Arabidopsis thaliana: one gene and its partners. The protein of the gene in region 3 purifies or fractionates together with the protein of the main gene of each other region. This does not show direct contact. Each region holds a gene or a part of one and is shown on either strand. Other genes may lie near its edges.

Evidence for each region.
Region 1: the proteins of AT3G55070 (region 3) and AT4G09310 fractionate together in Arabidopsis thaliana (co-fractionation; one large-scale study listed by BioGRID). This does not show direct contact.
Region 2: the proteins of AT3G55070 (region 3) and AT1G32730 fractionate together in Arabidopsis thaliana (co-fractionation; one large-scale study listed by BioGRID). This does not show direct contact.
Region 4: the proteins of AT3G55070 (region 3) and AT4G09250 fractionate together in Arabidopsis thaliana (co-fractionation; one large-scale study listed by BioGRID). This does not show direct contact.

What each region holds. Positions count from the first base shown.
Region 1 is NC_003075.7:5,899,505-5,907,062, reverse strand, and holds AT4G09310 (SPla/RYanodine receptor (SPRY) domain-containing protein), read right to left. Parts: upstream 4,251-7,558; 5' UTR 4,115-4,250; coding exon 3,855-4,114; intron 3,517-3,854; coding exon 3,358-3,516; intron 3,202-3,357; coding exon 3,066-3,201; intron 2,916-3,065; coding exon 2,839-2,915; intron 2,766-2,838; coding exon 2,624-2,765; intron 2,481-2,623; coding exon 2,412-2,480; intron 2,323-2,411; coding exon 2,266-2,322; intron 2,195-2,265; coding exon 2,108-2,194; intron 2,030-2,107; coding exon 1,823-2,029; 3' UTR 1,614-1,822; downstream 1-1,613. Other genes in the region: AT4G09300 (LisH and RanBPM domains containing protein), read right to left, coding at 6,374-6,501, 6,711-6,867, 6,942-7,061, 7,143-7,249.
Region 2 is NC_003070.9:11,837,966-11,845,093, reverse strand, and holds AT1G32730 (electron carrier/iron ion-binding protein), read right to left. Parts: upstream 4,185-7,128; 5' UTR 4,018-4,184; coding exon 3,896-4,017; intron 3,603-3,895; coding exon 3,541-3,602; intron 3,258-3,540; coding exon 3,170-3,257; intron 2,952-3,169; coding exon 2,849-2,951; intron 2,747-2,848; coding exon 2,138-2,746; 3' UTR 1,786-2,137; downstream 1-1,785. Other genes in the region: AT1G32740 (SBP (S-ribonuclease binding protein) family protein), read right to left, coding at 1-77, 159-211.
Region 3 is NC_003074.8:20,405,702-20,413,623, forward strand, and holds AT3G55070 (LisH/CRA/RING-U-box domains-containing protein), read left to right. Parts: upstream 1-2,572; 5' UTR 2,573-2,675; coding exon 2,676-2,996; intron 2,997-3,357; coding exon 3,358-3,552; intron 3,553-3,726; coding exon 3,727-3,849; intron 3,850-3,993; coding exon 3,994-4,188; intron 4,189-4,458; coding exon 4,459-4,592; coding exon of another isoform or gene 4,593-4,596; exon of another isoform or gene 4,597-4,734; coding exon 4,735-4,921; intron 4,922-5,084; coding exon 5,085-5,186; 3' UTR 5,187-5,663; downstream 5,664-7,922. Other genes in the region: AT3G55060 (CAP-gly domain linker), read right to left, coding at 1-109, 235-521; AT3G55080 (SET domain-containing protein), read right to left, coding at 5,775-5,924, 6,014-6,162, 6,245-6,333, 6,565-6,698, 6,881-6,964, 7,126-7,161, 7,437-7,517, 7,602-7,642 and 1 more.
Region 4 is NC_003075.7:5,873,581-5,881,001, reverse strand, and holds AT4G09250 (SPla/RYanodine receptor (SPRY) domain-containing protein), read right to left. Parts: upstream 4,425-7,421; 5' UTR 4,316-4,424; coding exon 4,056-4,315; intron 3,718-4,055; coding exon 3,559-3,717; intron 3,403-3,558; coding exon 3,267-3,402; intron 3,117-3,266; coding exon 3,040-3,116; intron 2,967-3,039; coding exon 2,825-2,966; intron 2,682-2,824; coding exon 2,613-2,681; intron 2,231-2,612; coding exon 2,024-2,230; downstream 1-2,023.

The DNA of each region.
Region 1 (7,558 bases), on a different chromosome or scaffold from region 3:
TTCATGGAGATCTCACTGAAACGGTCTACATGAGAAAACCAGCAGGATTCATTGACAATGCTCATCCTGATCATGTTTGCTTATTACATAAAGCTCTCTATGGCTTAAACAAGCTCCAAGGGCTTGGTTTGACATATCCAGCAAATTCCTACTCAATTTTGGTTTTACCTACAGTATGTCTGACCCTTCTCTCTTTGTCTACGTAAAGAACAAGGATGTGATCATGCTTCTTCTATACGTTGATGATATTGTCATCACAGGAAATAGCTCAAAACTTATCTCCAGTCTTCTTAATGAGCTCAATAAGCAGTTCAAGATGAAAGATTTGGGCAGACTTAGTTATTTTCTTGGTATTCAGGCGCAATTTCATCCAAAAGGTCTTTTTCTCTCTCAGTAGAATTATGTAGAAGATCTTCTAGCTACAACTGCAATGTCCAACTGTTCTCCTGTTGCAACACCATTGCCACTTCAACCTGAGAGAGCACCTAATCAAACCGAGCTCTTCGACAATCCATCATATTTAAGAAGTTTGGCTGGTAAGCTGCACTACCTCACACTTACTAGACCGGACCTCCAATTCTCTGTTAATTACGTGTGCCAAAAGATGCACGCCCCTACAATGTCGGATTTTCTTCTCCTCAAAAGGATTCTCCTATACATCAGAGGAACAACAACCATGGGAATTTCATTCAACAAGGACACAGATTGTCAACTCCGAGCTTACAGTGTCAGTGATCACGCCGGTTGTCATGGTACACGTCGCTCCACCGGTGGCTTCTGTACATTTCTTGCCAACAATTTAATCTCCTGGTCTTCTCGAAAGCAAGTCTCAGTCGCCAAAAGCTCAACCGAAGCTGAATATCGCTCTATGTCCGATACAGCCTCGAAAATCACATGGCTAGTCAATTTACTTCGTGATTTGGGTGTTCCGCAGTTATAGCTCCCCGAACTCTTCTGCGACAACCTCTCTGCCGTTTACCTTACAGCGAATCCATCGTTTCATGCTCGGACAAAGCATTTTGCAACTCACTATCATTATGTCCGAGAGCAGGTAGCTTTTGGTGAGCTCATCGTCCATCATATCCCGGGTTATCTACAGCTCGCTGACATATTTACAAAGTCTCTCGCCAAGGCTCCTTTCGAATCTCTCCGATTCAAACTTGGTGTCGATTTCCCACCTCCTCCAAGTTTGAGGGGGAGTATCAACAGAACAGCTCCAAACGACACAGTTTTGGAATTGGGCTCAAAACCATTAAAGCCCAATCCGAAACAAGTGCCCAATCCAAGAGCCAAGCCCAACATAGTGCAACGACAACCTGCAACAACAAAGGACAAAAGCAGAAAAGTTGCAGAGCGGTCCTTATCTCCACGCAGTACGGAAGTAACGACGAGGAATCGCTATGAGGCTCTTGAATCATGTGAAGACAACGACGCCACATAACAGCCAAGTGACAGCTATGCAAATCAAGAAGACACTAGGTTAAATCAATCTAGATGTATAAATAGACATAGCTTGTAATCACAAAGGCTTAAGTTGAAAGCAATAAACAAAAGACTTTCGATTTCATATTTTAACTTACAGCTAACAACAACATGTCATTAAAATTTGTAGCCGATTAAATTATCAAAATTAGTATGAGCAGCTCAATATTTGCCGATTTGTAGATAAATACTTGTAAATAAAAATTTTCAAGCTCCAATATAATCTCGTATATAGTTGTGAATCAAGTTAAAGTATGATCGCTAGTTTTAGAACATTTGAGCTTACACAATGACTCTATCAAGAGAAAAGATAAAAAGAAAAACAGAAAAAGTCAAGATTTTATTCACGAGCATAGAGTGAGCAGGTGGCTTCAAACTGTCTAAGCACTCGCTCAAGTGAAGCAGATTGCTGGTCTCTGGTGGCCGGATTTGTAGATAGAATCGCTTCACTGACTGCAGCTGCTACTATGTTCTTCTGTGTTTCTCCTAGAAGATATGCAGCACCTGATTCTTCTATAGTTTCACACTCGAACAAAGCAGAGCAATCCTGAAATAGAGAAAAACAAAACTATTAGTGACTCAAATATGAGAAACCTAATCTAACAGTTAGAGAATCACTACATACATCGAAAAGGTTTTTTAGTAGGCTTGAATCCCTAAAGTCTTTAAAATCTTGATTTCCAAATGACTTAGCCTCTGCTATTGCTCCTTTCTGCATTGTAGTTAGTTAGAGAAACACACCATGGATATGTGTAACAAATATACAAGGAATAAAGAACATACCCGTACTAATTCGACAATCTTTTGACAGATAAGAAGAAAATAAGCTTCTGATCCACCCTGCATATGATACAAGCAGCTTGTTAAAATAGTTCAAGGAATGTTAACAATGTGAATCACTCGATATATTAACTAGTTACTCAGCCCACCTCAATAAGTTGGGGATATCTATCCTTGAGTGCAGCAATAGCATCATCAATCTCAGCAGTCATTATAAGCTTTAACAAACAGAATGCATGGATCAGTTCGATATGAAACAGAAAAGATGTAGCAATGTAGCTTGCTTTTGGTTGATTTTGTACCTCACAGAAAAAAAATAAAAAAAAAATTACAGCAAGATAACCATAGCAGTGAAAAGTACCTCTCTGAGCTTTTTCCTTTGATGCAATTCATACTCATCAAAACTATTTTCTTGTGCAATAACAGTATGACGACTTGCAGCCAGGTTAAAAGCTCTAAAGCTATCTTCATATCCATAACGAAGAAGGTAGGTTTTTACAAGCCTGGAAAAAGGAAGCTTTAGCACAAACAGAAACAAGAATTACAATTAAGAACAGGCAGGAAAAGACACTTTACCCATGACTAATGCTGCGAGACATGGAAATCTTTTCAATTTCCCTTTCTTTTTTAACCCTCAATGATTCTTCAAAATGCTGAAATAAAGGTGGATCAGATAATAGAATATTGTATCAGAAAAATATGCCACATACATGCAAATATGGACATATGTGAGAGATGCATATTATTCTGCTTACTCAATAGTTATTCTCCGACTATGCAAGAAAAGAAAAGTACGACCTTACCTCAAAGTCAAAAGAAAACGCAATCTGTCCGCCGAAATTGACAGTGACAGCTTCGTTTTGGCTATGCAAAACAATTGTCGGGTATACAGGACGCCTAAATTGCCTGGGGATTGTCCCTACGATAGTTCCATTTTTCCTATAATCAAAGAAGTAGTCATAGATGTCAGCAAGTAAAACATACGCAGGGACATGTCAAAAACATTGTGACATGAAGAAATGAATTGTGTATCTTGATATCTACTTTTCCAATTGTAATGAAACATGTTCAGATAGGGAAACAGTTATTACTTACGTGAAAAAGAATTCTTGTGAAACCGAGTCTATACCGCAACCAACTAAATCACCTGTTGTATAGGTGTCACTGGCTTTAGCAACAGTTCGATCACCATCTCCATTTTGAGAGCATATGAGTCCACTGTTACCAATGTAGGCACAGCTTCTGACAGTATATCTAACATTACAGAGAAACATGAAACAGTGAATTGGAATGCTTAATTACTGAAAGGTGAAAACATCTAACAAAGCAAATCTCCCATTAACTTGTAAGATACCAGATCTAACAGCCAACACAATCAAATTGAGCAGCAAATCACATAACCTATTTCCAAGTAACGAATCCAAACCATTGAAACAGTGATTTGAACTACTGATCTACCATTGTATCTAAACCTATTTCCCAATTTGTTCTCTCAGTCTCAGGTACCAAATCAAACAGAATCAATGATTGTATTGAGTATCAAATCACGCAATAAGTGGTAAATGCGAATTGAAAGGGAAAGAAAACGATACCCTTCGCTATAGATGTGTTCCTTGGAGAAACCAATCGCGATCTCTCCTTTTTCACCAGCATTCATGATATGAACCTCGAAGTAGTAAGCAAGACAGTTAGTCGGCGCCGGATTTTCAGTCTGAAGAACTACGCCGTCGTGATCAGGGCCCGTGTATTGACCGGAGAGCCCATCGGGAGAAACAAAGGTAAATTCGTCTGAACCACCGACCGTGTATAGCGCCGTTGGCCGCAATTCTTCTTCCTCTTCGTTTTCCTCCATAGCTTCTCTCTGGTCAGAATCCCCCAATTCGTCCGAATCTATTGAATCGTAGAGAAAGAAACCCTAGAAATGCGATTGAAATGAAACCCCCAAATGTTGTTGAAGGGCATCAAAAACCACTTCGCGCCCAATGTTGTGTTTGCCAACAATAAATACGATTAAACCAGATATTTTTTAGTTAACCGGTAAATCAAATAACCGTATATTATTAAGTAAATAGATGAAACTCGGTATATTATTAAGTAACCATTTCTATGTTTTTTTCTCTTTTGGTTTTTACTTTTTAGAGTGCTTTTGGGGTGAATTTACACCTTATGTGAACACTGTTTATTAATGTTTTTCAATATCAATTATACAATAAAAATTTATTAACATAAACTTTTCTCTCTCGGTTCTAGGGATGGTATTCTCATGTGATCTCTTACTTCCAAATGATGCCATGCTTCTTTATTCAGATCCGGAAATCAGTACTATGACGAAGGATATGGAGCTCCTCCATCACACAAGCCTCCTTCTAACTGTGGAAGTCCACCTTACGACCCTGCTCCTTCAACTTCATCACACATTGATATGGGGCTTGCTTGTTCCCTGTGGCACTGTTGGAGGAGGTTTTGGTACAGTCAGTACTCCCAGTAGCATTCCAGAGTTTGATCATCACATGAACCTTCTTCAGGCACTTTCCAGACACCCGCACCGATCCCATTCGTGCTCTCTTCCGTCAAGGTACAACTTCGTTGGGGTCGGATTCCCCCACAAGCAAGACCGAGCCAAACAGTCTAAGAATAACAATCACCTCATGGTTAAACATATGATTGGCCCCTAGCCTAGAACAAAGCACCTCGGGACCTTATTCGATCGACCGTCCCGAAGAGAGTTTGTAAAATGGCTCGGGTGTTAATCATATGAACACAGCCCGAGCCAATCGTGAGAACGCTGCGGGACACATCTATATCGGCTCGGGAGACAGCCAACTGAGCTTAATGGACAGTCATCAAGCGCGCCCCGAGCCGGTACATACCGTTTGCCCCGAAGCCACCTCTCAAACGACCACCGAGCCGTGAAGAACACGCGAGGCAAAGACTTGTAAAAACCATTCATTCTCCAAGGATCATTTCCGGTAAAATGGGATCTTTTATGGGACTTTCAGAAATGATAAAGGAGAATCTTTGAAGATAATGTCGAAATCAGGAAATCTCCCCAAAACCTCCGAAGAATAAGGAGAATATCCTTAGGACGATTATCCTCTAGAACCGACCTAAGGATAAATAAGAATCTTCCGAAGAATATCGCTAGGGAGGCGGTTTAAGGATCCTATATAAAGTGCCTTAGGGACTTCACAAAAAGGGGGAGATCTTGGGATATTCACAAGAAACATAGAACTTTATACCTATTGAGAACTACGAATGGCTTGATCCCTTCACAGGGTACGTAGGCAATCCATCATGGATGCAGCTATACCTTTTTAAAACTTTAATTCTTTTTCTGTTCTTGAGCAAAACCCTAATGTATTTCATAAGAGATTAGAACCCCTCTTGTAATCGAGTCTTGGATAGAATACCTAATGAAGAGAAATTACTAGATTTGTTTTCCCTCTCTAAACAAATCTATTGTGTGAATCCTTGGTTCAACAAACTTCTTGGTTAAACTCCATGACCATGGTCAACACTAAGTTCCCTTTCACAACACCCGCAGCTATTAGATACTATATATACTATAAACAGTTTAAGATTCGTATTTGAAGCCATCTCGAATATAAATCTATGTTTATGACTAGTCTGTTTTATAAACGATCCGTCAAGTCCTTTGAAGCCAGCTTTTTAGGTAAGGGAGAGAGATAGAATAACTAAGATAAGCAAAACAAAGATTAGGACGTATATGCATTGCCGAATAGTGAGATAAGTAGACAAAGAATGAGCAACTGTTTTTTTTTTTTTGGTTCTTCGGTCACACACCAAACAAACTTCAAAATGAATTCTTATGTAGCTTTATAGGAACCATACCATGGTGGAGAATAAAAGCCTAACCAGTAAACCAACATTTGAAAACAAAAACCCTCTCTTGTTATTAGTACTACCTAGGGGTCCAATATTGTCATGAATAAGAAAATCCCTAAATCATAAGAGCAAGGCTAAAAACTCCCCCCTCACTCAAAATACTCACTAGGAAGAAATGGTCATCATGTTCTTGCGACAGATCAGTTATATATCACTATATATGTTCCCTTTTGCAGAGCCGTTAGTTGTTGAAAGGGAAGAAGAATCATTCTGGTCGGTATATGAGCTGGCCAGTGGAAAAATCATTCATGCGTGGATACACATAGACTGTTTTTTCATCCAGTTGATTCTGAGTCCAAATCAGCTCCTTCAACAAGCGCTCCAATTCAGGACCTGTTGACAATTCACAAAACATAACATCATCATCATCTCACTTGGTACATTGACAAAGTTTCAAGAGCTGGAAATCTGAAAGACACATGAGAGCAACTAGGGACTGTAATTATGACACTTTTGGCCATCATAAACAACTGGTTCTGTTTTTTGGTAGATAAGCTCATTATTTTTCACTTTCTGTGTCAGTAAAAAGTATAGCCATATACCTTTTTCTCCAGTCTGGCTTGTATGGATTGCTTCGTTTACGTGGCTAGCAGTCCTAATCCACTGCGAGTTGTGGAAAAGCTCCCTGGACGGGCAGTTAGGGAGACCTTCAGTAACGAGTATACACACTGTTTTTTCCAGTTCTCTTTGTAAGGCCTCCTGCATAAGATTGCAGAATTTGTTTATGACCAGTTCCAATCTCCTATTATAAGATGAATCTGCTAAAGACTCACATTCTCCTCAGCTAGTGGCGCGAGTTTTTCCTGTGCAAACGCAACAGCCTCCTCGGTCTTCTTCTCACGGATCAACTCGATCAACATTTGCTGGTGGAGGTGAAAACTTGTTTTGATAATCTACAAACACCAAAAACCAAAAAACAAGTAATGAGATATCCAACTATTTCTTCTCTTAAGCACTTAGGAAACTCCATATACCTCAGGGTTTAGTGCATTCAACTTCTCAATTGCATCCTCGAGATTTCGGGATTCGATAGCTTTTATCACCTCCAATCGCTCATTCATGCTAGCAAGATCTTCCTCTGCTGTTTCTGGTTAAAGGAAAAAAGAACTGAAAGCAGAAAGTTATTTCACAAGTTTAAACTTGAATCATCACCATCAGAAGAGAACGAATCTGAGAAATGTCTTCCACACTTTTAAAGCAGCATCATCATCAGAAGAGAAAGAATCTAACAAAAGTTCTTTTACAAGTTTAAACAAGAATCATCATCATCAGAAGAGAACGAATCTGAGAAAGTTCTTACACAAATCACAAGTTTAAACATGAATCATCATCCGAATCAGAAGAGAACGAATCTAATAAATTCCTTTCACTAGTTTAAACACGAATCATC
Region 2 (7,128 bases), on a different chromosome or scaffold from region 3:
TATTGGTTTGATCAAGAAAATCTCCAGCTGCTTGTGATTGTAATGTAAAATTACTATGTTCTTTCTCTTTCCCGTTTCTGTTCACACAAAGAAACATAAAACCGTAATCAATAAGCAAAACTAAAAGCAAATAATGAATTTACAGAGAGAAAATGAACCTTTTATTGAGGAAGAGGAGATTGGAGGAATGGTGTTGAGCTTGAACTGCCATTTTAATGATACAAAAGCTATATGATGATGTGATCTTAAGGTATTTGAACTCTGTCTCTGTTTTCTTCTGCACCTTTCACTCTCTCTTTAAATGTCTATAAATATAGGTTTAATAATAGTGTTTCTTTAGGGTTGGGTTTGTTCGTTTTGGTTCTCTTCTTCTTAATATGCTTTGGCTTTTTCTTTAGGATTCTCTCTCTCTCTCTCGTGTCTTCAACCACGCCATTACTCTTGCATATTCCAAGAAAAAAACAACCAAAAATAAAGTGAATTTAAATGACGGAAATCGATATTTCTACAGTTTATTCGGTGACCAAGTTTTTGTTTGGATAGTGGTTGTTTTAAAACATGTAGTGTACTACAAAATCTTTTAATTTCTTACTTAAAAAGGTAAATTTAAATATAGTATTTTTTTCAATTTAAGAAGTTTGGAATTTTTTGCACATTGTCTATTTTACTAAACAAAAGGTTTGCTTAGCAAAAATAAAATAAAATGAAATGCTTGTCGCTAATCATAAGTCATAACATGTGTATGTGTGAGACTTGCTTGATTTCTTTCCTTAGCACACTAGTTAACATAATTACATCATTAGACAGCAACTTCTTCCCACCTTTTTTTATATAATAGGATTCGTTTATCTTGAATATTACACTCTCTTTTTGTTGTTGTTGATAGTTTGGTGACATTAATTATTCTTGGTTTTTCATCTCTTTTACTTTTTAAGTAATGGATACTATATATCATAATCCATAAGCAATCTGGTTAAAGTTAACAAAAACACATTAGTAGCGAATCCGGAAAGATGTAAAAGAATAATTTATCAGTAAATATATTTTTTATTCTATCTGAGAAAAAAATCATTAATCATGTAGATTCTAATTTCAAATATATAATAAAGCATGCAAAATAAATAAATTAATTAAAAATTTAACTAAGAAGTTTCAGATTTAAACCCATAATCTCTTCTAAAAAATGAATAATACATATCAATTTAGTTTCTTTTTCACCAACGGTGAAATCGACATTTTTTTTTATTTTTTGGAACTTCGGATGGTACATTGATGAAGCTACCAAAACCAAGTACTAAATGTGTTACGTATTATATAACTTTTTAAAATAAATACATAATAAAAATTAATATTGAAAATGATTACACAATTATCTTACAATTAAAAATTGTTACACCAACCCTTCGTAGAAATATTAGGTGGTAACAAAAATAAATTAATGATTATTGAGAGCTTAACTTATAATGAGCTCATTTGAGTTGTTTGATCCTCAAGTCCCAACCACCAACCCATAACCCATTCAACATGTTTCCAGTTGGTTTGCATAATGTAAATGAATACTACACACACGAGACAACCACAACATGCATATATGAATAAGATATATATGGTTGAAATTGGAAACAAACTAAACGTTATTTTTACTTTTTAGTTCCACAAAAACTTTTGGATATGTTTTGATCAATAGTGGAATTGGGGCAGCAAAACAAAACTAGAATCTAAGAGTTTGGTTTTAGTCGTTTTCAAATATACGTGTTGAAAGTGGCCTATGGATGGATGGATTCATTTTTTTCCAAAAAAACAAACCGGTCTAATTAGACTGAGCGGTTATCCAATACCAAACCAAACCAACTATTTATTAAGTCAAAGGTAATCCAATGAGCAATTTCAAATCTAACAAAGCAACAACACACAGTGAAAAAAATCCAATGAGATAGAATCAACAGCTTTATCCATGGCTGAGTTCTAATATCTAAATGATGCTCAACACTACTTTACAAGAATCTCTTGAGTCTTTGGAGTCTTCAGGATCAGTTTTGAGGGATGTTTGATCATTGTACAATACCGTGGTCACGAAGGATCTAGAAATTTTCTTGCCACTCAAACTTTTCAGTTCATCCACAGGATGTTCTCGACTTCACAACATTCCAACTTTGTCAAAAGATTGGAGATTCTCAGCGATTTTTTGAAGTGCTTCTTCACTCATCTCAACTTTTCGGACTACACCCGGAAAGATCTTGTTCTTCTCGGAAGCAGCAGTGGGAGAAACTTGACCACAGAGCTTTGATTTCATCTCTAAGCAAGATTTGAGATCCTCTTCGGTTCTTGCTTTGTTCAGTTTATCGATTATTTCATTCAAAGCTGAACCTTTCTCTTCCCATTTCTTTCTTTTGACCCGCCTTTTGATATCATCTTGATCATCTGAAGAACTGCCTAAATCCAGTCTCTTAAGCTTCACCAAACCGGCTTTGACTGTCTCCGCGATCCGCTTCTTAAAGCTCTCTGTTCTTGCAGAGTTCGATCTCAGCCTCAGTTTAAGCTCTGAAACAATATTTTCCTCTTTGTTTTGCTCAGGAGCTGCTGTTCCATGACTCTCTTCATCAGGAACAGATGTAAATGAAAATGCTTCTTCGAGTAAATTCACATTACTCATGTACCGATCAAAAGCTTCATTTTCTACTTCAATGTTTCTGTCTCTGTACTCTTTTAGCTTTGTAAACCGCCACTCGTTTAAAGCTTGAGCATCCTATAGAATATAGACAGAACAAAAACTGATAAGAGGAAAACAACTAAATGGAGATTTTTCATAGAGTACTAAAGTCAATGAAAGACGTCTTAATTAGTATACCTTTATCGTCAAAGGTTTTCTCTGGCGGGAAGAAGCATTCAGGTTATTAAACTGAGCAAAGTTGCTAGAAAGTTGCCGGATTGACGAAACTCTAGTGGTACTCCTGAAACAATTTCCAAAAGAAGAAAACGTCAACATAAAGCGCCATATTTTAGTTCCACAAGACCAATATATCATCTCACTATCAACTACGTGCAATAAAACAAGAAAGCTGAAGAATCTCCTATCAAAGTATTAGTAAGCAAACACCGGTTTATCATCTAAGATTCACTTGCCCATGGAAGCACAAACAAAACAGAAAATTAGTTTATATATATGTACCCGGGAGTGCCCTCGGTTGCTTTCTGCTCTGAAGATGGAGTACTTGGCGCCTGCGTCTTCTCACCAGACGTTGAAGCTACTTTAAGAACTGCAGCGAAATAAAACACATAAGAAGAAACACAAAACAGTCCATGATAACATCTCTATATCTCTCAGCTAATCACAAGCACATTCCAAGAATCAGTCTTATGGTTCTTTATAGGTTTTTTTGTCCCGAGACAACCAAACGAACCCTATAGAAGTCAAGAATACTAAACTCTAAACTTACCAAGTGAAAGAATAGAACTCTCCAATCAAAGTTATCAACACTAAACTCTAAAACTGATCACTTTAGCTAATTATGAAGTTGAGATTTGACAGGGCAAACATACCGTGAATCGGGCAGGGATTCTCTGCTCTTGAACAACAACCCTTACAAGATTGAAAAGGGCACCTGCATTTATCAAATCCAAGCAATACAATTACAATTACTTCACCAATAATCTCAAAAAACTGATCTTTCGATACTAAAGCTCAAAACTTTAAACAATCTCCAACAGATTAATCACCAAATCATGAATAAAAACCCAAACCCACAAACCTATGAACCCTAAATCAAAACGAAAAAGTACTATACAAGACAAATTCGAATCCTTTCAGATCAAAAACCCAAGAACAATCCATAAATCGAAACCCCAGATGTAAAAAACCTAAGTCCTTCGATGAAACAATGCGTAGAAGCAATACCTGGAGCGAGCTACATTGCCGCATTGAATACACTTAGGCTTATTGAGACCACGGAGAGTTTTGGGAGGCGTGACGACGGAGGAAAGACCATTGTTACTCAGAGACGGTGACGAAGTCGCCATTGATAAAAAGTAACGGTTTAAATTAAAACCGTTATTCAACGAAAGAGATAACTAACGACCAAATAAAACTCGTGCGAGTGAGTAACAAAAAATTTGGAATCGAAAGGATTGGTTTTTATTTTTTTTTGTCGCTCTGATTTTGCGAAGTGCTCTCAATCGCTCGATTTCACGGCGGGTCTAGGGCTCCGGTTATTAATAATACCACGTGAGTCGTTTTTATATGGGCCTGGGTTTTAAAGCCCAATATAATTTCTCTTTAAATTGAACCGAACTTAACCAAATCATGAACTTTATCCGGGATCAGACTTGTCAGATAAATCAATATAAGCCCAAAAAAAGCCCAAGTAATTAGGTTATTCTATCGAATCAGATTCACATATATATAGACGTTATTGTTCATATGAACAATAGAACATCAATCTAAATAATTTAGTGTTTGCCGTTTGGGCAAATCTTTTTCTTCCTCATCTCTTCCTTCGCTTTGCTTTAGAGTCTTTTCATAAGTAAAAGAAACAAAAACAATAAATCATTCTACTAATTGACTTGTAACTCGAAGCTTTGATTTGGACGTTACAAGTGGTATCAGAGCTTCACACTAGAAGCTTCTAGATAGAAGTCAATTTGGCAGACAAAACAATGCATTTAGATTTTGGTGCATTCAACTTCAGAGTGTTTTCATATTTTTATACTACTCTATACTATTTTGCAATTGATATCGCTTTCTAACTTATTATTCTGATGCATCGATCGCTATATGATTATATTGCGTAACCTTGGCTGATTTTGCAGCTTCAATATACTTAGAGTCAATTTTGTACTTGGCTGATTTTGCAGCTTCAATATATTTAGAGTCAATTTGTATGGACTTGCAGATTTGGATGGGTTAACACATAAAAATATAGTTTATACTTTATAGACATGATTATTTAATTAATTAGTTGATTTATCATTGGTTTTAGATTTAGTAGACTATGAGGACTGTCAAGAGTCCACACGACGATCAAACTAAACAACTCTGATGATAATAGAGACTACAAAACAAAACAGAACTGAACAATTTTACAAAACAACAATTAAAAAGTATAATTTAATCGGAATAATAATATTTGCTCACCAATATATAAATTTTAATTATTCTTCTTCTTTTTATTTATTTGGTAAATATTTAACCATCCATTCATGATTTAACGATTACAATCGAGATAAATACCATTGGATAACAAAATATTACGAAAGATTTCCTCACCAATTCTTCGCGACATAGTGAACGTACATCTCTCAAGTTGTTACTTGTAAATTGCAATCATTCGCATAATCTATGTTGCATGAAAACGGAAACGGAAATGCGGATACGAAACGTTTCGGAAACGGGAAACGATTTTTTCTTAAAATTAGGGATTGGAAACGTTTTGGAAACGTATACACATTTATACATATATATAACATTATATATATATATATAACATTAACATAAAACTATATTAAAGAAAAAATGATTTAAACAATACAAGTCCAAAATATCAATATTAAATAAATAAACTAAAATTCTAAAAGATAAAAATTAAAAGGTTCAAGTTCAAATAGTTAATTTAGACCAACATTTTCATTAGTTTTATCAAAGATAATATAAAGCTCTTTTCAAATCTGGTTTAACAAAAGAAAGATCTTAAAACTCAAAGTCTTCCAAAATTATTTATATGTAATAATAATTTTAATATTTTCAATTTTAGTTATTAAATTTTTAAAGTCAATAAAAAAGATTTGTCGTATGTCTATTTCGGAAACGTGAGTTTCTATTTTGGAAACGTAAGTTTCCATCGTGTTTCTAAACCTAGATTTTTAGGAAACGCGTTTCCGTGACGTTTTTCGTATTTCCGGAGAGTTTCCGTTTCCGAAACGTTTCGGAAACGAGAAACGCACCTCGGAGCGAGTTTCCATGCAACCTAGCGCATAATCTTGCAAAAAAAAACATTAATACATAGGCCTTGGTTATTTTTTAATCCAACTTCTCTATAAATTGAACCTGAACTTAAACCAAATCAGAAATACATAAATCGGTCGGTTTGTGAGGTATTAATCCGAGATATGAGATATTTTTTCTTTTTCTTGTTAACAAATTAAAGGAGCAAGAATCGTCCTTATCAAGTAAGGACTTGATTTTCCAAAATATATTTGAATTCCTTTTTTGTAGGATCTTTTGTGGATCTAGTTGGCAAGAGTGATGTGTATATAAAAATGTTAAAATTGATTAATAGCCACAATGAATAATTCTGCCAATGAACTTGTACTTTGTAGCTTCAATCTAGACCTAACATTGGGTATTAAAGCTTCTATATATATAGAAGCTCTGATACCACATGTTAGTTTTAGATCAAAGTTTCAAAGTATTAATAAATTGGCAGAGAAAAAAAAGCATATAGAAGTCAATTCCCTTGAAGTCCTTTTTAACTTATTGTTCTTAGTTGGATCTTGAGAACAGTATCTTGGAGTATTTCTATGTAAAATGTGAATTTATAGTTTTCAAAATTTAAAGCCAGAAGTATGTTTGCTTTTTTATTGATGTTGATGTTTGAAATCATCATTATTTGATTCTTCACAAATCAATATTTTTCCTTGCATGCTGTAGATTAGACGATACAACAGAGATCAAGTAGATTCCAAGAATCTTGGAAGCCCGAGAACTATGTATATACACCGCATGATTTGTCAGGACAAAATTTGGGTTAACAGTAAAAATGGAGTAGAGATGACTTATCATTGGTTTTTTACTTTTTAGAAATATCGACAGTCCATGCAACGACCAAACTAAATATTTTTGGTTGTATATCAGAGACTTATGCGGTAATCTAATTTTTCAAATTGACAATGGTAATGTCCAAGACTTTCTTTGTTCCTCCCATTCTCAACCTTCAGTGAGAAGAAAAAACTACAACAATTAACAATATATCAGAAAATAAATAAATAGAGAAAGAATAATCTTACAAAATAAAAATGAGAAAATTAAAGTATAATATTTAATGCGAGTAATAATACTTCTTAATCAATAGTTTTGTGTGAAAAAGAAAATCTAAAGTTTAGTGAGAAACAATAAAATATTATGAAAGATTTAGT
Region 3 (7,922 bases):
TTTACTAGAGACATTACTCGAACAAGATGATGAACTCCCAGACGAATCATGCTGAAACTTGTCTGCTTTACACTGCCTTTCTCTAACTTGTCTTTCTGGAGTAAAGCATCTGGTACACAGTATTCATTACATTGTTTGTCAGTGGTTTAATCAAATATAGAACCAAGATAGCGAAAACATTACAGAAAATCATCAAAACAATCTCATAAGAATGAAGAAAGGCCAAAAGCATACCGAGATGAATGATTGCGCCGCCTATCCTTGCTTTTAGTAGCACTAGTTGTTAGTTCATTCTTGGAAGTTTCTCCAAACTTGTCAAAAAGGAAACCTGCAGAGGACCATGAAAGGCTTCGTCTAAGAGCTAGACCACCAGAAACTTGACCATGTGACTTAGGACTATCGAACTCTTGTTCAGCCTGACTACTAGCTTGGGTTCTCATCTTACTATCCGCTTCTTTTTCGCAGTTAACTTGTTTATCATTTCCATTACCAGAAGATCTGAAAAAGAAGAGCTTTTTCATTGTTTTCTCCAATCAAAAGGTGCTATAACAACTGCAGCTGCAATCAAAACATATAGAAGCAAATCAATAGATTGTAAGATATCTCCTGCACTAAACTAGGAAAAGTTCACATTTTGCAGCAAATTAGTTCATGTCAATCTCCAAAAAAAGTGCTCCAAGTGAATCTTACAAACAATTTGCTCGATGAAAGATAAACCAGTTCAACAAAAGAAATGAGAAAAAACAGCATAAATGATCTTAGACTCGAGATAATCAACTATAACTCTACTCAGAGATTCAGAAACTCAAGACTTATCATAGTAAACATCGAGCCAAGGCCTAAAATAAAAGACCAGACTACCCTAAGCATCTTCAAAGCTACGATAAACCCTAGAGACTAATCAAATCACAAATCGAACCTAAATCCTACTTGCGGAGAAGTTGATGAAGATTATGTTCGGCGAGATTACTCGAACACTAACAAAATCTAGAAAGGCTCTCTCTTTAAACGATCTCAATCGATTTCGTCGCCAGAAAATCCAACTCTACTCTCTCTACTCTCTTCTAATAGTTGGAAAATTGAAAGAAAAAGGAAAAAAAAACACTGAGAGGCGACAGCTTTTTATGACGACACAATTGGCTTTAAAGAAAACCAAAGAAACACAGAGAAAAATTTTAAAATTTCAAAAGGGAAGATCTTTAGAATTTATGAACATACCATAAAACAGCGATTTTGCAAATCGAAAATTCGAATGGAGAAGAAACTGAAACGCAGATTTAATAACAGCGCTAGATAACGTGGATTTGATCTAAAGGGAGAAGTGCAAGAAGTGTGAGAGTGTCTCGTTGACGACGAAGAATCCAAAAGAACAAAACGGCTCCAAAAATCTTTATTGGCGGTGTGATAATGTAAATAGAGTATCCAGTGAAGGGTATTTCTGGTAACCTTTTTAAATCTTTCATTGCGCGGCGGATAGAGCCATTTGGACTTTTGGAGGAGCGGGGCTACAATTATTTGTTTTTCACTAACAACACATAACAGTGATCAATAACAACATTGGAAAAACTTGTAAATTACAAATTAAATGTAGGGTATTTAGTTGTTTTAAGATAAGTATAATAAAATATATAGGTTTGAGTGATATGAGGTAATTATGATACAGTTTTGAAGTGATAACGATAAGAATTGTTGGTATGATACCGTTTTTGTTGTTGATAAGCTTTGAGACCGGGAAGGTGTATGTATACCACCATACCTAATACTATAAATTACCAACTACGCTCATAATCAATTATATAATTATAAATTTGGTATAAAAGTCGAGAAATCTAACAAAAATGATAAGGTTATTTCTCAATTTACTTTCATGCTTTATTTTTCTTCTTTATGTTTGGCAATAGCACCTAGTATTTAAACAATACATATAGTATTTCGACACATAGTTGCCCGTAATAAATTGAAATAATATAAAAGAGAAGTAATGCGTTATTTTAGATAGAAATCTGACATCATATATTTATAATTATATTTTCTATAAATAAAATATTATCTATATATAGTTTTTTTACACTTGGAATTATATATTGACCACACATCATGTGTTAAATTTTTTTTTTTTTTTTTTTTTTGCATTGATACTTTGGCCATATTTTAGTTTTACTCATAACATATTAGGTATAATCACGATCAGTCCTAATATTTTGAAAGCCCAAAAAAAAAAAGACTTTATTTTGAGATATTTTTTCACAAGGTAAATTTAATTTCAGTAAAAAAAGGGTTTTTAATAATTAAAAATATCTGTATATTAATATTTTGTATAGACTAGTTATATATTAATCAAAAATTGGGAATCCTAGACTATTTTTGTTTCATCAACTGGACCTGGTACTGGATCAAACGTTGCTGCAAACTAAAATGACAAAGCCCAAAAATCAAAACATACTCTCGGTTAGGGATTAGATCAGACCGGACGGTTTCCTACCTTTTCAAACGCTGTCGTTTTGAACTATAGAGTACCACAAACCAACGACGCCGTTTCACTTGGCACTATTTATTTCTTCTGTAGTTTTTTTTCTTCTCATACATATATCAATCAATCAAGATCACCACCACAAGGCAAAATCTAAACTCTCTCTGCAAAATTTCTGCTAACTTCTTCCTCCCATTTTCTTGCCATGGAAATCGATTCCGCCACCAACGGAAACTCTGACACCGTCATGACGGAATCCGCCGCTACGATCACTCCGTCGCCGGTCGTCGTCTCGTCTTCGAGATCGAATCAATTTACGGAATCTCTCAAGCTTGAGCACCAGCTCCTCCGCGTTCCTTTCGAGCATTACAAGAAGACGATCCGTACCAATCACCGTTCTTTCGAGAAAGAGGTCTCAACCATTGTTAACGGCGTCGGAGAATTGGCTGATTCCGATTGGTCTAAAGACGATACCGTTTCGCGTCTTACTTGCCTTGTTACTCGATTACAAGGCCTCAAACGAAAGGTTGATTTTTCCGTCTCTCTCCCTCTGTGATCGGTGTTTTAAATTATGTAGACGAAACTGAATCAATTAATTTAGCGATTAAAGTTTCTGATTTTGCTAAATGATATCCACTTATCTGTAAAAAATTTGATCTTCGATGTTGAAGATCAAAGTAAAGTATCTGTCTTTGGCAATTATGTCTCACTAGACATTGGATCTCGATGAATTCAATGTAGTGGTGGAGTTGGTTCATTGGAACTTCCCATCTGACTATTTGCATTGTCTTCTAAATTTTTATCATTTGGGATAGTTTCTATATCTTCTGGAGTAACATCACATGGATATGGCCTGGCTTACGTATTTTTTTGGTTTTGTATCTCAGTTGGAAGAAGGGAGCAATGTGGAGAATTTGCAAGCCCAGAGATGTCGTGCTCGCATCGATCATTTGGATTCAGTAGATGTGGAAAATATTACTGAATGGAATAATACCAAACTGAAACGGATTCTTGTAGACTACATGCTGCGGATGTCATATTTCGAGACTGCTACAAAGCTTTCGGAAAGCAGCAATATTATGGTTTCTCTCATCCTCTTGACACTCATTATATCACACTATTATGCTATATTGCTGTCTTGGTTAATATATCAGAACATATTCTTTGCTGTTTCGTTTTTACAAGCAGTGAAACAGATTTGTTGATTTGTACTGCATCTCTATGAAATGCTAATTATAAATATCTCATCTTTTCAGGACCTTGTCGACATTGACATATTTCGAGAAGCTAAGAAGGTGATTGATGCCCTTAAAAATAGGGAGGTAGCTTCTGCATTGACATGGTGTGCTGATAACAAAACGCGGTTGAAAAAGTCAAAGGTACGTGCTCTATGTACTCTCATGGTTAAGTTTTACTTTCATTTTTTATGAACTCCATGTGGTTTGGCTAAAGTATCCAATTTTTTACCAGAACTCTATGTATAATTGTTCATTGCTAATTATATATTTTCCTTTTCATAACAGAGCAAATTTGAGTTCCAACTAAGGCTGCAAGAATTCATCGAGTTGGTACGAGTTGATACAGCTGAGAGCTACAAAAAAGCAATCCAGTATGCTCGAAAGCATCTGGCATCATGGGGAACAACCCATATGAAAGAATTGCAGCATGTTCTGGCCACTTTGGCTTTTAAAAGTACCACAGAATGCTCAAAATATAAGGTGAAGTTTTCCTTCTTTTGATTATATAACTGTTGAAAATTGACGCTTCAACTTGTATCTTTTCCTAATGATTGATTTTGTCTGAAATGGCCCAAAAACGTGGATATAGATTTCACTGTTTCTTTCATACACCAGGCTGCTTCAGTAATCTTTTTCGTCTTTGTTTATTGCCGAATTAGTTGTGTTACTTTCAACTCTTGTCGAATCTTAATTGATCATTGCATGTATTTAGGCTAATCAACTAACAGATATGTTTTTCTTTTTTCTCAGGTTTTGTTTGAACTACGACAGTGGGATGTTTTAGTTGATCAGTTTAAACAAGAATTTTGCAAGTTATATGGCATGACGATGGAACCCTTATTGAACATCTACTTACAGGCAGGCTTGTCTGCGCTGAAAACTCCGTAACGATCAAACTCTATCAAAATTGATGTTTTTGATTGTCTATTTTCTGCATCTGATAAAGGGGCAGAAAGTAAGTTTTCGAAATGACACCCTAATGTGATTCTTACTGGTGGGTTGCGTTTGTACCTTGATATGACTCAGATATGGTTTAGAAGAAGGTTGTACCAAAGAGGACCCTCTCTCACAAGAGAACTTTCGGAAGCTAGCTTTGCCTTTACCGTTCTCCAAGCAGCACCATTCAAAGCTTGTTTGCTATATTTCTAAGGAGCTAATGGACACAGAGAACCCACCACAGGTGCTGCCCAATGGCTACGTCTACAGCACCAAGGTTTGATTCTGTTCTTGTACAACTTCAGCTTCTCTGTTCTTTTTCTCTTTTTAGAATCTTTTTCTATTAGCTTGATCAGTTACATCAGTCTATCCTATACAGTTCAAAAAATTTAAAGTTGGGTTACTTTTTTTATTTATTTGATGGGTAAATGAACTTGCAGGCTCTCAAGGAAATGGCGGAAAAGAATGGAGGTAAAATAACATGTCCAAGGACAGGGCTTGTCTGCAACTACACGGAGTTAGTTAAGGCATATATATCATGAACCCATATGCTCATAATCCTCACTTTGGTCACCTTTTCAATGGATGACTGGGAGGACAGTATTAAGGCCAAAGAAACTGAAATTTCCAACTTTCTCCATTACTCTTTGTGAATATGCACTTGCAGATAAAACTTTGCATCACTTTAGAAACAGCTCGTTCCTTTGTATATCAAGCCATTTCTTCATTTCAGTCTTATGACAATTTTCTAGTCAACATGGTTTTAGTGGAAACATGTTTGGCTGCTTTGCTCTGATATTTTTATTCATGTTTTTCTTCTTATCCACTAGTAGTTTCTGTATAAATCAACCGGCAAAGTACACTTTATTGTCCCACTACCATTTCACAAACCACAGTTCCGATTCTACTATCAGTTTCCTCACTTGAGGTGTATAATTTGGTTCTGTCTGGTTTCATCTATTTGGATACCATCCTGATTCAACATGTTCATCATTTCTCTTTTGTTTGTTGGCTTCGGAAATGGAACGAGGTATAATTCCGGATTAAGAAATAGAGTAACACTAATCTTTTTATTCACTCCAATATCTCAATTTATTGGTATATTGCTATCGTAGAGACTGTAAAATCGATTACATTGTCTCTGAAAGCAAGGTTGTGCAATAATGATTGAGCCATTCAGCTGCAGATCTCAGTACACGAAGCTCACCGTATAGGAGATCTCTTGCCATCTGCCTTCTAACAGCAAATCTTTGTGATACAAAATAGCATTCTTCCATTTCCTGCAAAGGCACCCACCAATAAACGTTTTTCAAAACCTACATTGTCAGTCATTGTGTGGAAATTAGTTGAGTAAAGCGTTCTATAGTACCTTGATGCAAACACTATGATCCTCAATCAATCTGTTGATGTGAGACAAGAGGATCTTATGTGCCTCCAACTCTCTGTTCCCGTCTTTAAAAGGAAGCCGAGCTAGTCGGCCATCATTTTGTGCAGCTTCTTTTGACAAATCATTTAGCTCTGAGAATCAACTATACTGTTAATACTTTTGGAATTAGCCTCGCAAGATGATAAAAGAGAGTGACTAATTTGATTTGAGCACCTTGGGGAATGATACAACAGAGAACACGAGCAAATGCACGGAGAGATTGTGGAATGCCTTTTCCTTTCCCTATAGCAGATTTCACTTCCCTGAGAGATCACCAAAAGTACACTTAGATACACATGTAAAAAGCACTGTTACTGAAACCAATTCTAAAGAAGTAGGTTCATTGGTATTTTCCTATCCACTGTTCACATCACTCTTAACTGCTTTCTTACTATCTCCCATGTTTCCATTCTTTGAGTACGGATATTGATATGTAAGCAGTTAAGAACTTGTAATGGCTTGGTAACATTCTAAAGCTAAACTTTAATACCTACTTGATTGTGAAAGTATCACAAGAAGAGTGAAAGATATTGATATCTTTGACAGTTCGAGTGTGATGTGTCTGGAGAAGTCCCAGCTTCATGTTGCGAAGAGGATCATCATTCGGTACATCCATTTGGATTTGAACCTATAAGTCACCGCAGCAGTATCAGTTTGATACTAATCCTTAGATAATGACTGTGTGAAGTTTCAACATCCCATTCAGTCAATTAAATGACAATCAAGTTCAAGGTTGGTGAGTAGCATCTTCAATCCAACATCTATAGATCAATGTTGTTACGGCTACGGTCATGATATTAGAAAACAAACCTCGTCATGAATGTTGTAAGGAAAGGTAAATCCAAAATCTAACATGAGTGTAGCATTTGAGAATTCCCCATACTTGATGAATACCTACACAGAGATATTTGGTAAGCTTCAACAAGCCCATGAGTTTTAACCAGTCACTGAGATCGACCTCAACAAAAATAACATTCTTATAGAATCTAGTGATTATTAAAAGAAATAAGTAATGCATCCTCTGAGAAGTGAATCTCATCGTGTTATAATCTTACCTCATCACCAGGACTGTAGTTGCGATCTGCAGTGACCTGCAAAGTTGAAAACTTGAAATCAAAATGTACTGGCTTGTTTCAGTCTGTGTTGCAAGCCTTTAGAGTCAAGAGAAAGTAATACGGAATAAAAAACCATGCATTTTACTAGATCGATGTACCACATATTTAACAATAAGATTATGCTGATGTCGATTCACTCTAGTTGATGTATGGAATATGAGATATGGAGGTTAGATTGTATATCAAGTAGATGTGCACAAACCCTTGACGAAGAGAACACAGAATATTAAATAACAGGAATGGAAGTAAACCTCTGATAGTTGATTGTCTTCATCCCTCAAAACGATTGATGCAGAAAGCCCATCATGGTTCATGAAGTCTGCAAACGGAATCTGTTATATCGTTAGAACATCTATCGTACCAGAATTCACCATAAGTAATCTGGAAAGATGCCAGAGCTAAATTGAAAGCAATACCAGTGATATGCGTTTTGAGTTTTCCCACGCACGAGATCCCACTGTCCAGCAACAAGTTATCCAGATTGAGTAAGAACAACACAATGCATAAAACCTCCCTTATGAGAGATTGTACATGGTTGAGTAACACCAGAAACAGATATAGAGCCAAATGAATACTTGTGAAGTAACTTTCTCACCTAAAGCATATGCATACATGAAATCTTCCAAATCTGGGCGTTCAGTTACTATGGGACAATGTTGTTTGAATGCCTAAGAATCACCAAAAAGTGATTTTAGAACTCTTATTCACTAAGATGAAAAATAAATTCGACACATGGA
Region 4 (7,421 bases), on a different chromosome or scaffold from region 3:
TCAGGATCAAACTCAATGCAGATGGCTCATTAGATAAGTACAAAGCTCGACTAGTTGCTCAAGGCTTCAAACAAGAAGAAGGAATAGACTACCTCGAGACATATAGTCCGGTAGTTCGATCTGCAACCGTCCGAGCTGTGCTTCATCTAGCTACTATCATGCAATGGGAACTCAAACAAATGGATGTCAAAAACGTCTTTCTTCATGGAGATCTCACTGAAACGGTCTACATGAGAAAACCAGCAAGATTCATTGACAATGCTCATCCTGATCATGTTTGCTTATTACATAAAGCTCTCTATGGCTTAAACAAGCTCCAAGGGCTTGGTTTGACATATTCAGCAAATTCCTACTCAATTTTGGTTTTACCTGCAGTATGTCTGACCCTTCTCTCTTTGTCTACGTAAAGAACAAGGATGTGATCATGCTTCTTCTATACGTTGATGATATGGTCATCACAGGAAATAGCTCAAAACTTCTCTCCAGTCTTCTTAATGAGCTCAATAAGCAGTTCAAGATGAAAGATTTGGGCAGACTCAGTTATTTTTTTGGTATTCAGGCGCAATTTCATCCAAAAGGTCTTTTTCTCTCTCAACAGAAATATGCAGAAGATCTTCTAGCTACAACTACAATATCCAACTGTTCTCCTGTTGCAACACCATTGCCACTTCAACCTGAGAGAGCACCTAATCAAACCGAGCCCTTCGACAATCCATCATATTTCAGAAGTTTGGCTGGTAAGCTGCACTACCTCACACTTACTAGACCGGACCTCCAATTCTCTGTTAATTACGTGTGCCAAAAGATGCACGCCCCTACAGTGTCGGATTTTCTTCTCCTCAAAAGGATTCTCCGGTACATCAGAGGAACAACAACCATGGGAATTTCATTCAACAAGGACACAGATTGTCAACTGCGAGCTTACAGTGACAGTGATCACGCCGGTTGTCATGGTACACGTCGCTCCACCGGTGGCTTCTGTACATTTCTTGTCAACAATCTAATCTCCTGGTCTTCTCGAAAGCAAGTCTCAGTCGCCAAAAGCTCAACCGAAGCTGAATATCGCTCTATGTCCGATACAGCCTCGGAAATCACATGGCTAGTCAATTTACTTCGTGATCTGGGTGTTCCGCAGTTACAGCTCCCCGAACTCTTCTGCGACAACCTCTCTGCCGTTTACCTTACAGCGAATCCATCGTTTCATGCTCGGACAAAGCATTTTGCAACTCACTATCATTATGTCCGAGAGCAGGTAGCTTTTGGTGAGCTCATCGTCCATCATATCCCGGGTTATCTACAGCTCGCTGACATATTTACAAAGTCTCTCGCCAAGGCTCCTTTCGAATCTCTCCGATTCAAACTTGGTGTCGATTTCCCACCTCCTCCAAGTTTGAGGGGGAGTATCAACAGAACAGCTCCAAACGACACAGTTTTGGAATTGGGCTCAAAACCATTAAAGCCCAATCCGAAACAAGTGCCCAATCCAAGAGCCAAGCCCAACATAGTGCAACGACAACCTGCAACAACAAAGGACAAAAGCAGAAAAGTTGCAGAGCGGTCCTTATCTCCACGCAGTACGGAAGTAACGACGAGGAATCGCTATGAGGCTCTTGAATCATGTGAAGACAACGACGCCACATAACAGCCAAGTGACAGCTATGCAAATCAAGAAGACACTAGGTTAAATCAATCTAGATGTATAAATAGACATAGCTTGTAATCACAAAGGCTTAAGTTGAAAGCAATAAACAAAAGACTTTCGATTTCATATTTTAACTTACAGCTAACAACAACATGTCATTAAAATTTGTAGCCGATTAAATTATCAAAATTAGTATGAGCAGCTCAATATTTGCCGATTTGTAGATAAATACTTGTAAATAAAAATTTTCAAGCTCCAATATAATCTCGTATATAGTTGTGAATCAAGTTAAAGTATGATCGCTAGTTTTAGAACATTTGAGCTTACACAATGACTCTATCAAGAGAAAAGATAAAAAGAAAAACAGAAAAAGTCAAGATTTTATTCACGAGCATAGAGTGAGCAGGTGGCTTCAAACTGTCTAAGCACTCGCTCAAGTGAAGCAGATTGCTGGTCTCTGGTGGCCGGATTTGTAGATAGAATCGCTTCACTGACTGCAGCTGCTACTATGTTCTTCTGTGTTTCTCCTAGAAGATATGCAGCACCTGATTCTTCTATAGTTTCACACTCGAACAAAGCAGAGCAATCCTGAAATAGAGAAAAACAAAACTATTAGTGACTCAAATATGAGAAACCTAATCTAACAGTTAGAGAATCACTACATACATCGAAAAGGTTTTTTAGTAGGCTTGAATCCCTAAAGTCTTTAAAATCTTGATTTCCAAATGACTTAGCCTCTGCTATTGCTCCTTTCTGCATTGTAGTTAGTTAGAGAAACACACCATGGATATGTGTAACAAATATACAAGGAATAAAGAACATACCCGTACTAATTCGACAATCTTTTGACAGATAAGAAGAAAATAAGCTTCTGATCCACCCTGCATATGATACAAGCAGCTTGTTAAAATAGTTCAAGGAATGTTAACAATGTGAATCACTCGATATATTAACTAGTTACTCAGCCCACCTCAATAAGTTGGGGATATCTATCCTTGAGTGCAGCAATAGCATCATCAATCTCAGCAGTCATTATAAGCTTTAACAAACAGAATGCATGGATCAGTTCGATATGAAACAGAAAAGATGTAGCAATGTAGCTTGCTTTTGGTTGATTTTGTACCTCACAGAAAAAAAATAAAAAAAAAATTACAGCAAGATAACCATAGCAGTGAAAAGTACCTCTCTGAGCTTTTTCCTTTGATGCAATTCATACTCATCAAAACTATTTTCTTGTGCAATAACAGTATGACGACTTGCAGCCAGGTTAAAAGCTCTAAAGCTATCTTCATATCCATAACGAAGAAGGTAGGTTTTTACAAGCCTGGAAAAAGGAAGCTTTAGCACAAACAGAAACAAGAATTACAATTAAGAACAGGCAGGAAAAGACACTTTACCCATGACTAATGCTGCGAGACATGGAAATCTTTTCAATTTCCCTTTCTTTTTTAACCCTCAATGATTCTTCAAAATGCTGAAATAAAGGTGGATCAGATAATAGAATATTGTATCAGAAAAATATGCCACATACATGCAAATATGGACATATGTGAGAGATGCATATTATTCTGCTTACTCAATAGTTATTCTCCGACTATGCAAGAAAAGAAAAGTACGACCTTACCTCAAAGTCAAAAGAAAACGCAATCTGTCCGCCGAAATTGACAGTGACAGCTTCGTTTTGGCTATGCAAAACAATTGTCGGGTATACAGGACGCCTAAATTGCCTGGGGATTGTCCCTACGATAGTTCCATTTTTCCTATAATCAAAGAAGTAGTCATAGATGTCAGCAAGTAAAACATACGCAGGGACATGTCAAAAACATTGTGACATGAAGAAATGAATTGTGTATCTTGATATCTACTTTTCCAATTGTAATGAAACATGTTCAGATAGGGAAACAGTTATTACTTACGTGAAAAAGAATTCTTGTGAAACCGAGTCTATACCGCAACCAACTAAATCACCTGTTGTATAGGTGTCACTGGCTTTAGCAACAGTTCGATCACCATCTCCATTTTGAGAGCATATGAGTCCACTGTTACCAATGTAGGCACAGCTTCTGACAGTATATCTAACATTACAGAGAAACATGAAACAGTGAATTGGAATGCTTAATTACTGAAAGGTGAAAACATCTAACAAAGCAAATCTCCCATTAACTTGTAAGATACCAGATCTAACAGCCAACACAATCAAATTGAGCAGCAAATCACATAACCTATTTCCAAGTAACGAATCCAAACCATTGAAACAGTGATTTGAACTACTGATCTACCATTGTATCTAAACCTATTTCCCAATTTGTTCTCTCAGTCTCAGGTACCAAATCAAACAGAATCAATGATTGTATTGAGTATCAAATCACGCAATAAGTGGTAAATGCGAATTGAAAGGGAAAGAAAACGATACCCTTCGCTATAGATGTGTTCCTTGGAGAAACCAATCGCGATCTCTCCTTTTTCACCAGCATTCATGATATGAACCTCGAAGTAGTAAGCAAGACAGTTAGTCGGCGCCGGATTTTCAGTCTGAAGAACTACGCCGTCGTGATCAGGGCCCGTGTATTGACCGGAGAGCCCATCGGGAGAAACAAAGGTAAATTCGTCTGAACCACCGACCGTGTATAGCGCCGTTGGCCGCAATTCTTCTTCCTCTTCGTTTTCCTCCATAGCTTCTCTCTGGTCAGAATCCCCCAATTCGTCCGAATCTATTGAATCGTAGAGAAAGAAACCCTAGAAATGCGATTGAAATGAAACCCCCAAATGTTGTTGAAGGGCATCAAAAACCACTTCGCGCCCAATGTTGTGTTTGCCAACAATAAATACGATTAAACCAGATATTTTTTAGTTAACCGGTAAATCAAATAACCGTATATTATTAAGTAAATAGATGAAACTCGGTATATTATTAAGTAACCATTTCTATGTTTTTTTCTCTTTTGGTTTTTACTTTTTAGAGTGCTTTTGGGGTGAATTTACACCTTATGTGAACACTGTTTATTAATGTTTATTAATGTTTTTCAATATCAATTATACAATAAAAATTTATTAACATAAACTTTTCTCTCTCGGTTCTAGGGATGGTATTCTCATGTGATCTCTTACTTCCAAATGATGCCATGCTTCTTTATTCAGATCCGGAAATCAGTACTATGACGAAGGATATGGAGCTCCTCCATCACACAAGCCTCCTTCTAACTGTGGAAGTCCACCTTACGACCCTGCTCCTTCAACTTCATCACACATTGATATGGGGCTTGCTTGTTCCCTGTGGCACTGTTGGAGGAGGTTTTGGTACAGTCAGTACTCCCAGTAGCATTCCAGAGTTTGATCATCACATGAACCTTCTTCAGGCACTTTCCAGACACCCGCACCGATCCCATTCGTGCTCTCTTCCGTCAAGGTACAACTTTGTTGGGGTCGGATTCCCCCACAAGCAAGACCGAGCCAAACAGTCTAAGAATAACAATCACCTCATGGTTAAACATATGATTGGCCCCTAGCCTAGAACAAAGCACCTCGGGACCTTATTCGATCGACCGTCCCGAAGAGAGTTTGTAAAATGGCTCGGGTGTTAATCATATGAACACAGCCCGAACCAATCGTGAGAACGCTGCGGGAAACATCTATATCGGCTCGGGAGACAGCCAACTGAGCTTAATGGACAGTCATCAAGCGCGCCCCGAGCCGGTACATACCGTTTGCCCCGAAGCCACCTCTCAAACGACCACCGAGCCGTGAAGAACACGCGAGGCAAAGACTTGTAAAAACCATTCATTCTCCAAGGATCATTTCCGGTAAAATGGGATCTTTTATGGGACTTTCAGAAATGATAAAGGAGAATCTTTGAAGATAATGTCGAAATCAGGAAATCTCCCCAAAACCTCCGAAGAATAAGGAGAATATCCTTAGGACGATTATCCTCTAGAACCGACCTAAGGATAAATAAGAATCTTCCGAAGAATATCGCTAGGGAGGCGGTTTAAGGATCCTATATAAAGTGCCTTAGGGACTTCACAAAAAGGGGGAGATCTTGGGATATTCACAAGAAACATAGAACTTTATACCTATTGAAAACTACGAATGGCTTGATCCCTTCACAGGGTACGTAGGCAATCCATCATGGATGCAGCTATACCTTTTTAAAACTCTAATTCTTTTTCTGTTCTTGAGCAAAACCCTAATGTATTTCATAAGAGATTAGAACCCCTCTTGTAATCGAGTCTTGGATAGAATACCTAATGAAGAGAAATTACTAGATTTGTTTTCCCTCTCTAAACAAATCTATTGTGTGAATCCTTGGTTCAACAAACTTCTTGGTTAAACTCCATGACCATGGTCAACACTAAGTTCCCTTTCACAACACCCGCAGCTATTAGATACTATATATACTATAAACAGTTTAAGATTCGTATTTGAAGCCATCTCGAATATAAATCTATGTTTATGACTAGTCTGTTTTATAAACGATCCGTCAAGTCCTTTGAAGCCAGCTTTTTAGGTAAGGGAGAGAGATAGAATAACTAAGATAAGCAAAACAAAGATTAGGACGTATATGCATTGCCGAATAGTGAGATAAGTAGACAAAGAATGAGCAACTGTTTTTTTTTTTTTTGGTTCTTCGGTCACACACCAAACAAACTTCAAAATGAATTCTTATGTAGCTTTATAGGAACCATACCATGGTGGAGAATAAAAGCCTAACCAGTAAACCAACATTTGAAAACAAAAACCCTCTCTTGTTATTAGTACTACCTAGGGGTCCAATATTGTCATGAATAAGAAAATCCCTAAATCATAAGAGCAAGGCTAAAAACTCCCCCCTCACTCAAAATACTCACTAGGAAGAAATGGTCATCATGTTCTTGCGACAGATCAGTTATATATCACTATATATGTTCCCTTTTGCAGAGCCGTTAGTTGCTGAAAGGGAAGAAGAATCATTCTGGTCGGTATATGAGCTGGCCAGTGGAAAAATCATTCATGCGTGGATACACATAGACTGTTTTTTCATCCAGTTGATTCTGAGTCCAAATTGCATGCAGAAACTTAAGGATTATTTGTCAAGTCTCGACATGTATGACCCTTTATACCTTAATAAGTTGTTAAGTACGACATGCTTACACTATTTGTGTATATTAACTTTCTTTTATTATTTGTTAGCAAAAAATCGTTGGAAAATGGAATAGACGAGGTTGATTTCTACGGAGTTTTCATGACCGAAAGAAAGTTATGGCCAGATTCAAATTATGGATGGTTGGGTGATGAAGTAAGTTATTGTTATATTCTGTCTGAGGTTGTCTATTTTATGGCTGAGTTATCGTGTTGTTTAGGCTGAGTTAAATAAATTATAGCTGGTTTATTCTGGTGTGCAGACTGAGTTGTAGTTGGTTATGTCTAAGTTATGGTATTGTTCTGCCTGAGTTAAAGTAGATAATGGTGAGTTAATGTTGTTGTTTTTTTTGTCTGGGTTGGTTTTATTTTTGTACAGCATATTGCTGCGTATATGAAAGTCCTCGCCCGGAGGCTCCAGCGAGATCCCTGCCCATACCACAACGAACGCGTCATAATTCTAGACCCGTGGTTCACGATTTATTAGGTTACAGATTACAATCAGTTCAAGATCTAACAGAAGAGTTTTTTTTTCAAAGACACCGCGTATCAATAGTGGATTAACGGTATGAGAAGAGAAGTGGCAACACGGAAGAAGTTGATAACAGATGTGGATCACTTGTATATTATCCACCAAACCGGAGGTAATCATTGGGTGACCCTT